2 linked regions of the Ovis aries genome follow. The protein of the gene in region 1 interacts with the protein of each later gene in a pairwise test. Links are inferred from orthologs where the notes say so. Each region holds a gene or a part of one and is shown in the gene's direction. Other genes may lie near its edges. The genes, in order: PADI4 and ANXA4.

Evidence for each region.
Region 2: the proteins of PADI4 (region 1) and ANXA4 interact in binary tests that used the Homo sapiens proteins (3 or more experiments, as listed by UniProt). The two-hybrid records come from large-scale screens. The link is inferred for Ovis aries from reciprocal best matches to the Homo sapiens genes PADI4 and ANXA4.

What each region holds. Positions count from the first base shown.
Region 1 is NC_056055.1:248,954,051-248,958,325, reverse strand, and holds the start of PADI4 (protein-arginine deiminase type-4), read left to right. Parts: upstream 1-1,219; 5' UTR 1,220-1,527; coding exon 1,528-1,958; intron 1,959-4,275. UniProt on the Homo sapiens protein: Catalyzes the citrullination/deimination of arginine residues of proteins such as histones, thereby playing a key role in histone code and regulation of stem cell maintenance.
Region 2 is NC_056056.1:38,569,483-38,573,292, reverse strand, and holds part of ANXA4 (annexin A4), read left to right. Parts: coding exon 1-5; intron 6-1,099; coding exon 1,100-1,190; intron 1,191-2,522; coding exon 2,523-2,602; intron 2,603-3,810. UniProt on the Homo sapiens protein: Calcium/phospholipid-binding protein which promotes membrane fusion and is involved in exocytosis.

The sequences.
Region 1 (4,275 bases):
AATAAAACTGAAAATAGAGCTGCCAGAAAACCACAATTTGAAAAGATATGTGTACCCTAACGATTGTTGCAGCAGTATTTACAATAGCAAGGACGCGGAAGCAAGAGAAATGGCCGCGGAGAGAGCAGTAAAGAGGATATGGTGTATATACATATATGTATGTATACACAACGGAATATTACTCAGCCGTAACAAAGGATGAAATAATGCCATTTGCAGTGACATGGGTTGACCTAGAGATTGTCATTATGAGCAAAGTCAGACAGAGAAAGACAAATATATGGTATCACTTATATGCAGAATCTTAAAAAATGGTACAAACGAATGTTCTTCCAAGACAGAGATGGGGTCACGGATGTAGGAAACAAACATGGTTACCGAGGGAGGACGGAGGGAAGACTGGACTGGGAGACTGGGCTTGGCGCATACGTATGACCGGGTGTGAACCAGGGGACTATTAATAATGAGGACCCGCATGTAGCAGAACCCACTGTGTGTACAGGGAGCTCGACTTAGCACTCTGTAACGACCGTCCGAAGAGGACTGGCGGCGCGTATCTGCATAACCGGCTCACCTCGCGGCTCAGCAGGGCCCAGACGCCACTGCAGACTCATAGGCTCCAGTAGAGGCTCTGCTGCTCCAGATCCCCGAGCAGGCCTCCTCTGGGTGTTGGCTCTGGGGCCCGTCCCGCCACCCCTCACCTGGACGGGCAGGCGGCAAATGTTGGCCCAGGGCAGGGTGCCTTTGGCTCACACCCTGGCTCTGCCGCTTTCTAGCCGTGAAATCTGTCCGTGACTCGGTTTCTTCCTCTGGAAAATGGGGATGATAATGGCGCTGACCCCAGAGAGCCTCTGTGAGGGTGAAATGAGGGAATCACAGCAGAACCCACCTCACAAGCTCGCCTTAGGGAGTTTTCCACGCGAAGGCCAGAGAAAGAAGCCCCGCACACCCAGGAGAAACCCCAGGAGACAGCCGTCGCAGGGGTGGCCCAGCCTGGGGTGACTTGTCCCAAACCTGGTCAGGCTTTTCTTGTTTAGTCCCTTTTATTCTGTTGTGTATTTTTAATCAGAGTATGATGGCTTTACAAAGTTGTGTTAGTGGCTGTGGTACAGCGAAGAGCATCGGCCACACACCCCCCTCCCTCTGGAGCCTCCTCCTGCTTGCCCCCCACCCCCGAGCCTCTTCGTGCTCGCCCCTGGCCCCACACCCAGGCCCTCGCAGAGCGCCGAGCCGAGCCCCCTGCGGGGTGCAGCGGCTCCCACTCGCCGTCCGCTCCACACACGGCCGCGTGTACGTCAGTCTTACTCTCTCAGCTCGCCCCCACGCCCCTTCCTCCGCTGTGTCCACATGTCGGTCCTCCAGGTCCACGGCTCTATTCCCGCCCTGCAAACAGGCTCCTCAGTCCCATTTTCCCAGATTCCGTACACGTGCGTTCATACACGCTGTTGTCTTCCCTGGCTCCTCTTTGAAGGTGTCGCCCGGCCTGTGGCCTCAGCCTCGCCTTCTCCTCTCTGATACCCTGTCTGGATGGACCCAGGTGTCCGTGGCTCCAGGAGGGGATGGAGACCCAGGGGGCATGAGACCTCAGACCCGCAGCCCCGCTCACAGGCTTCCGAAACCCTCAGCTCTTGCCAGGACGCTGACCGAACCAGCCTGCCACCAGTCCTGGCATCAGCGCCAAACTGGGTCCCCGGCCTGGGGGTAGCTCCAGGACAGAGGAGGGGCCGGGGAGACACCGCCAGCCCCGGAGGAGGAAGGGCTGAGCCACAAACCGCAGGCGCTGACTCACGGCCTCCGCTGGGCGCTGGGCAGATAAAAGCAGCAGCCCCGGGGCCTCCTGCAGCCGCAGGGACGCACAGGCCAGCGATGGCCTGGGGCACGGTGGTCCACGTGGCCCCGGGGCAGCCCACCCAGGCCGTGTGTGTGCTGGGCACCGAGACGCAGCTGGATGTCTACAGGTGAGCAGGGGACGTTCTGGGGCCACGGGCAGCTCTGGGGCTGTGGGTGAACGCCTTCTGCTGCCCCACGAGGGGTTTGGCTCAAGCGGCGGCCACTGCCGGGGAGAAGCCGGAGGGCCGAGATCCAAGTGGCCCCAGGACTCCCCTGGACTCAAGGCAGCGGCTCATCGCCACAGACGAGAGGGGCTTCCCCAGGGCCTCACCGCACAGGAAACCTGGTAGGGCAAGCAGGACCACATCCTCTCACGCTTGAGGCCGTGAAGCGCAGAGAGGTCCTGTGACTCGCCCAAGGTCGCACAGTGCGTGGATCCTGGGAACGAGTCTGGCCTCCGGATCTCACAGCCCCGGCCCACCTCCCCTTGCGCTGGGCTGCCCTGCGCTGCTCAGCCAAGCCTCCCTCCGTGGGTGTGCAATAGCGCGGGCGTGATGAGACAGGTTCTGGCATGGAGCGGCGGAGGCGGAGGCCTGGCCCTGCTATTGGTTAGCTGAGATGCCCTGGGCAGCTGAGCCTCAGTTTCTTCATCTGTGCAATGGGGATCATACCCGCTTTGTAGGGTGCTTGCGGGGATGAAGTGTGGAAACCTCGAGAATGCCTGTTGTGCACTTACCACAGTGCTGGGCCTGCCCCGGTGGCGGTTCTTCTGTCCATTCATTCCTTCGACAAATGCTAACTGAACCCCTGTTGCAGCCAAGCCCCGTGCTAGGCTCTAGCTAAACAGGGAGGTCTAAGCTGCTCGTGGTGGGCACAGCGCCAGCCTCCAGCTTCCGCCGCCACAGGTGAGCAGCTGTGCTTCTGGAAGAGCGCCCAGAGGACAGCTTGGCACACTTCCTTGAGGGTCGCTTGCCTCCTGAAGCGGGGCAGCAAACCGCAGGAAGTGTCTGGGGCCTCCTGGGGACACGGAGGCTGGCAGGAGGCCGAGAGGGTGAGGACTGAGGGGGGAGGAGGCCCACCGTTATCCGGGCCACCCTGCGCCAGGGCAGTCTGTCCATCGAGCCCAGGGTTCCAGCCCCGCCGGCTCACACGGTCACGGTGACACTCACGTCACGCTTGGCACACACAGCTCAGCCAGCCCCCGTGAGGAAGGCAGCGCTGTCCCCATTTCACAGAAGAGGAAGCTTGTTTTTACCAGTTACCTTTCCGTTGTCCATTTCTCTCTGTACTTGCCTTTTTGAAGGAAATTTTCCTGTTCTCTTAAAAAATTGTTGCATTTTCTCCATGTATGGAAATTTATGGACTTTATTTCTATTCTTCTGGTGAATACCTTTACATTTTAATAATAAAATGTTGAAAGTAAAAGTTGCTCAGTCGTGTCCGACCCTTGGCCGCCCTGTGGCCTGTACCCCACCAGGCTCCTCTGTCCACGGGGTTCTCCAGGCAAGAGTACTGGAGTGGGTTGCCATGCCCTCCTCCAGGAGATCTTCCCAACTCTGGGATGACACCTGGGTCTCCCACTTTGCAAGCAGAGTCTTTACCATCTGAGCCACCAGGGATTGAACACTACCTTAATCCTCTCTTCAATCAAGCGCCTGGGAACATTTTAACTGTCATTACCCCTCCCAATTTACATTCTGCCTTTTTTTTCTTAATGTCGCAATTTTGATATTTTTATAAACTTTTAAAACACAGACAAGACTCTTCGGATTAACCAAAGTATTTACCGTTTTATCTGCTCACCATTCTTCCTTACATCCAGATGCTTCTGACATTGGATATCTTCTTCTTAAGGCAAACTTCTTAAAGTGTATCTTTAGGAGTTGCTTTGGTGAAAATGCATTGGTTTCAAATTAAAATGCCAGTTCTTCTTCATCTGAAAATGTTTTTATTAAAATATAACTTTACGTACACAAATAAAAGTTAACGGTTATTTTTTCAAGATACTTTGAAGATGTTATTTAACTGTCTTCTGGATTTCATTACTGTTGTTGAGAAGTCTACTTTCAATCTAATTATGAAGCAGGGCAAAGACTAATAGAATTTTGCCAAGAAAATGCACTGGTCATACCAAACACCCTCTTCCAACAACACAAGAGAAGACTCTACACATGGACATCACCAGATGGTCAACACCGAAATCAGACTGATTATATTCTATGCAGCCAAAGATGGAGAAGCTCTATACAGTCAGCAAAAATAAGACCAGGAGCTGACTGTGGCTCAGATCATCACCTCCCTATTACCAAATTTAGACTGAAATTGAAGAAAACAGGGAAAACCGCTAGACCATTCAGGTATGACCTAAATCAAATCCCTTATGATTATACAGTAGAAGTGAGAAATAGATTTAAGGGCCTAGATCTGATAGATAGAGTGCCTGAT
Region 2 (3,810 bases), on another chromosome or scaffold:
TGAAGGTTCGTGCTCCTCTCTTCCTGCTCTTGGGGCTGGGGGTGCAAAGGTGGACCCACGGGGCGTTCTCAAGAAGCCATGATAGAGGCCTGAGAGTGTAGAGGAGGAGGGTGTGGGGGAAGGATTTTCCTTAAGACAACTTGAAAACAGGACCTTACAATCTAGCGACTGTAACTTCAAAGCTGTTTCCCCAAAAGTTAAGAAATTCTTTCTTCTCCGTGGCCCACTGGGGAGTGATTATACTCGTGCTTGCTGTGTTGCTGCTACTGCTGCTAAGTCGCTTCAGTCGTGTCCGACTCTGTGCGACCCCATAGATGGCAGCCCACCAGGCTCCCCCGTCCCTGGGATTCTCCAGGCCAGAACACTGGAGTGGGTTGCCATTTCCTTCTCCAGTGCATGAAAGTGAAAAGTGAAAGAGAAGTCGCTCAGTCGTGTCTGACTCTTAGCGACCCCATGGACTGCAGCCTTCCAGGCTCCTCCGTCCATGGGATTTTCCAGGCAAGAGTACTGGAGTGGGGCTTGTGTAACTCCAGACAATTTCTTGCCATATTAGCTCCTGTTTTGAGATATGGAACTTTTGACTGACCCCGTGAGGGCCTCTTGGGCTGCTGTAAGCTCAGAACCTGCCAAGAGTTCTCAGCCTCCCAAGATGCTAGAGCCACTGTGCCCTACACCAGGCTCTGCCGATTTTTAGCAACCAAGTACAAAATTCAATTATGACTCCCCTCCTCCCTCACGTCAATGAATATTCAGGTTCATGGGAGGTTCTGGGCTAGTCACTGGGAAACAGAGATAACAGCCTTTGCCAGAAGATTCTGCCCTTCAAAGGAAAAGTACAGGGGAGACCAAGGCAAGACAAAATCCCCAGAGGGTGGAAACTATTCCTAACCAACACCCAAAAGCAGCCCATGAAATGTTTGTTATGACTAATAAACATGTTGGAATCTGGATAGGAAAGTTAAAAATGAGCAAATCCTGTTGCTGGAACTAGCTGAGTTGTCTTTATTCTCTGCAGATTTCTGGTTGTATCCCTCCTGTGTCTGGGACTCAACTTGGTGACCTGACTCATGACACCCTCTCCTCTGGCTTTTACATTTAGGGAGCTGGCACAGATGAGGGCTGCTTGATTGAGATCCTGGCCTCCCGGACGCCCGAGGAGATCCGGCGCATAAACCAGACCTACCAGCTGCGTATGTAGCATCCTCAGGGGCCTTGGTGGCGGCCCTGTCCTCTGAGAAGTAGACTGGAGCGGGAGGTTACCCACTGAAACACTGACCTCGAGGGAGCCTCAGCTACAAGCTCAGCTGTCAGGCAGATCCCTGTCGATCCAAATGACTGTTGGCTTTTCGAGACTTCTCAGGGGTACCTGCCTCTCTTCTTAGGCTACCCAGTGAAGTGTTTACTACCCTGAAAGCTGAAAAGCTGTTCTTTAGTATCAAGCAGAGAATCAAAGATGTTTATTCAAATGTGGTGGCACCACTGAATCATAGCTTTCCAGGGAGTGGCCTGGAGGAGCAGTCTCCTCAATTTCTTACCTTCAGACTAGGCTGTAGGTCCCGCAGCCACCCCCAGTGGCAAGACTCCCCTCTTAAAAATCTCCTTCTTGACCTAAGGAATATAATAAAAAATGTCCAAAGGTTCAGATCCCACAGTGTCATCTATATTAGCTTAAAATGTCCAGCAGAGTGGCTAAACAAAGATGTCCAGCAGAGTGGCTATCCATACAACATAATCATCAAAATGTATATCGGAGGATGTTATTAAATTACAATGAGTGGTATGGTATACGAATAAGGGGAAAAGACAAATCATAAAATGAGATGCTGTGATCCCATTTCTTAAAGAAACAAAAATAATATGTGATGTGGGGAAAATGAGGAAGGATATTCACCAAAATGTTATCAGTGATTATTTCTGGGTGATTAGATGAGGTTTTGTTCAACGCCTCCCCGCGCCCCGCCCCCGCCACTTCATTTAACTCATTCAGTTTTTCCTAAGTTTTCTGTAATAAATGTACAGTTCAGTAGAAAGAAAACAAAATAGTAAGAGTTTTTTGGTAGGTGTTCAGAGTGGGAGAGTGGAAACCTGGGAGTCTGGTTCTAGCGCTGACTGCCTGTGGTCTTCTCCCTGTGGACAGTCCGCTGCTTGTCCCCAAACACAGGTTCAGAAGCTCCATCCTATTTGCCTTTCCTCATGCTGCTTAACCAGCTCTGTGTCACTGCAAACCACATTCAGGACAGATCCCTAGATAGTAGGAACCACCAAAGAGGGGATCACAGCCCCGCGTTCTCAACCCACAATGTAAGCAACAAGAGCATCTTGTCTCTGCTCTAATCATCAACTTCTCTTGACCATTTTACCAAGACTTTAGTTTTTCATCAGCTGTGTATGGGCTGAAGAACCTCACGATGAGTTGCTTCAGTAATCAGGCTGGTCCAGGAGAGGACGGAAAACTCTGGGGTGTGACCTGGTGTTGGGCAGAGATCTTCACTCTGATGTCACTAATTTGACTCTCTTGCTAGAATATGGGCGGAGCCTTGAAGACGATATTCGCTCTGACACATCATTCATGTTCCAGCGCGTGCTGGTGTCTCTGTCCGCTGTGAGTCGCTCCCACCTTTGATGGGGGCAGGGGGGATGGTTTATTGAGACGTTCACTCTCTACCGGCTCTTCTAGCCTTTCTCAACCTTTCAACCTCCCAAATGGGAATTTTTCCCTGTGTTTTTCTGAAGCCTCTCTGTTATTTTATATTCTGTCTTTAGAGACTCTAGCTAGTCATGCATCCCCATTTTTTCTCATTTATGCATACAAGTACCTAATATACGCCAAACAATCATTTCTCAGTGCACTGAAAGTTAGGAATGTGGTTAAAGGCAGTCCTGGGCTTTAAGAATTTATATTGTCAGAAGGGGATCTAGCAGGCCCATGTGTTGCTATAATAAAAGCATGAAAGTATGTGCCAAAAAAGAGGCACAGAGCAGAAGAAAGGTTCAAGGAGAGATTTTGGTTGCAGAAACAAAGAAAAGGCTTCATGGCAGAGGTGCTGGCTGAGAGAGGACTAGTAGGGTTGCTGGAATTTCAAGAGGCACAGGTGTGTGGGGGTACATTCCAGGCAGAAAGAACAGTGAGGACAAGACAAGGAGTCAGGAAACACAGATTGGGTTCAGGGAACAGTTGGCTGAGCCGCTGGACTAGTAATTCTAGGAGTCAGGTGGGAAAATGAACAGGGGTCCCATGTTGGGGAGAGTTTGTGCTTTTTTTTCGGAGAGCTGTGGGGAGCCTCTGAAGGTTTTGAAGCAGTCGTGATGTGATTGGAACTTCTTAGAAGAGTAGTATTATAGCGGTGTTCCAATGAATTGAACCAGAGGAGGGGAGCCCAGGCAGGGGTTACCTTGGTATTCTAGATACTGTGAAGAAAGCAGGTCTGGGCCAGTGTGGGGGCAGGGATGCCAGAAAAGAGAGATGGATTTACAAGCATGTCACACAACTTCACAATTTTATCTTTAGGCCTGACCTCCTTCCAGAGTGTGAGACTCTCATTTCTCACTGCCTTTTCCCTGTTTCCTTGTGGATATTCTGCCATCACCTCTGTCCACTCAGCCCTCCTAAACTATGCTTGAACTCATTTTGCCTCCAAACCAGCTCTTCTTCCTCCCTCATCTTTTTCTATTACTGTTGTTTCTGTTTTTGCAACAACCAAAGCAGAAGCCTGGAAAGCATCTCCAGCCCCCACCTTGCTATGTCTCTGATGTTTACTTAATAATGCCAGCCTGCTTTTCTCTTCATTTTATTTTATTTTTTTTATTTTG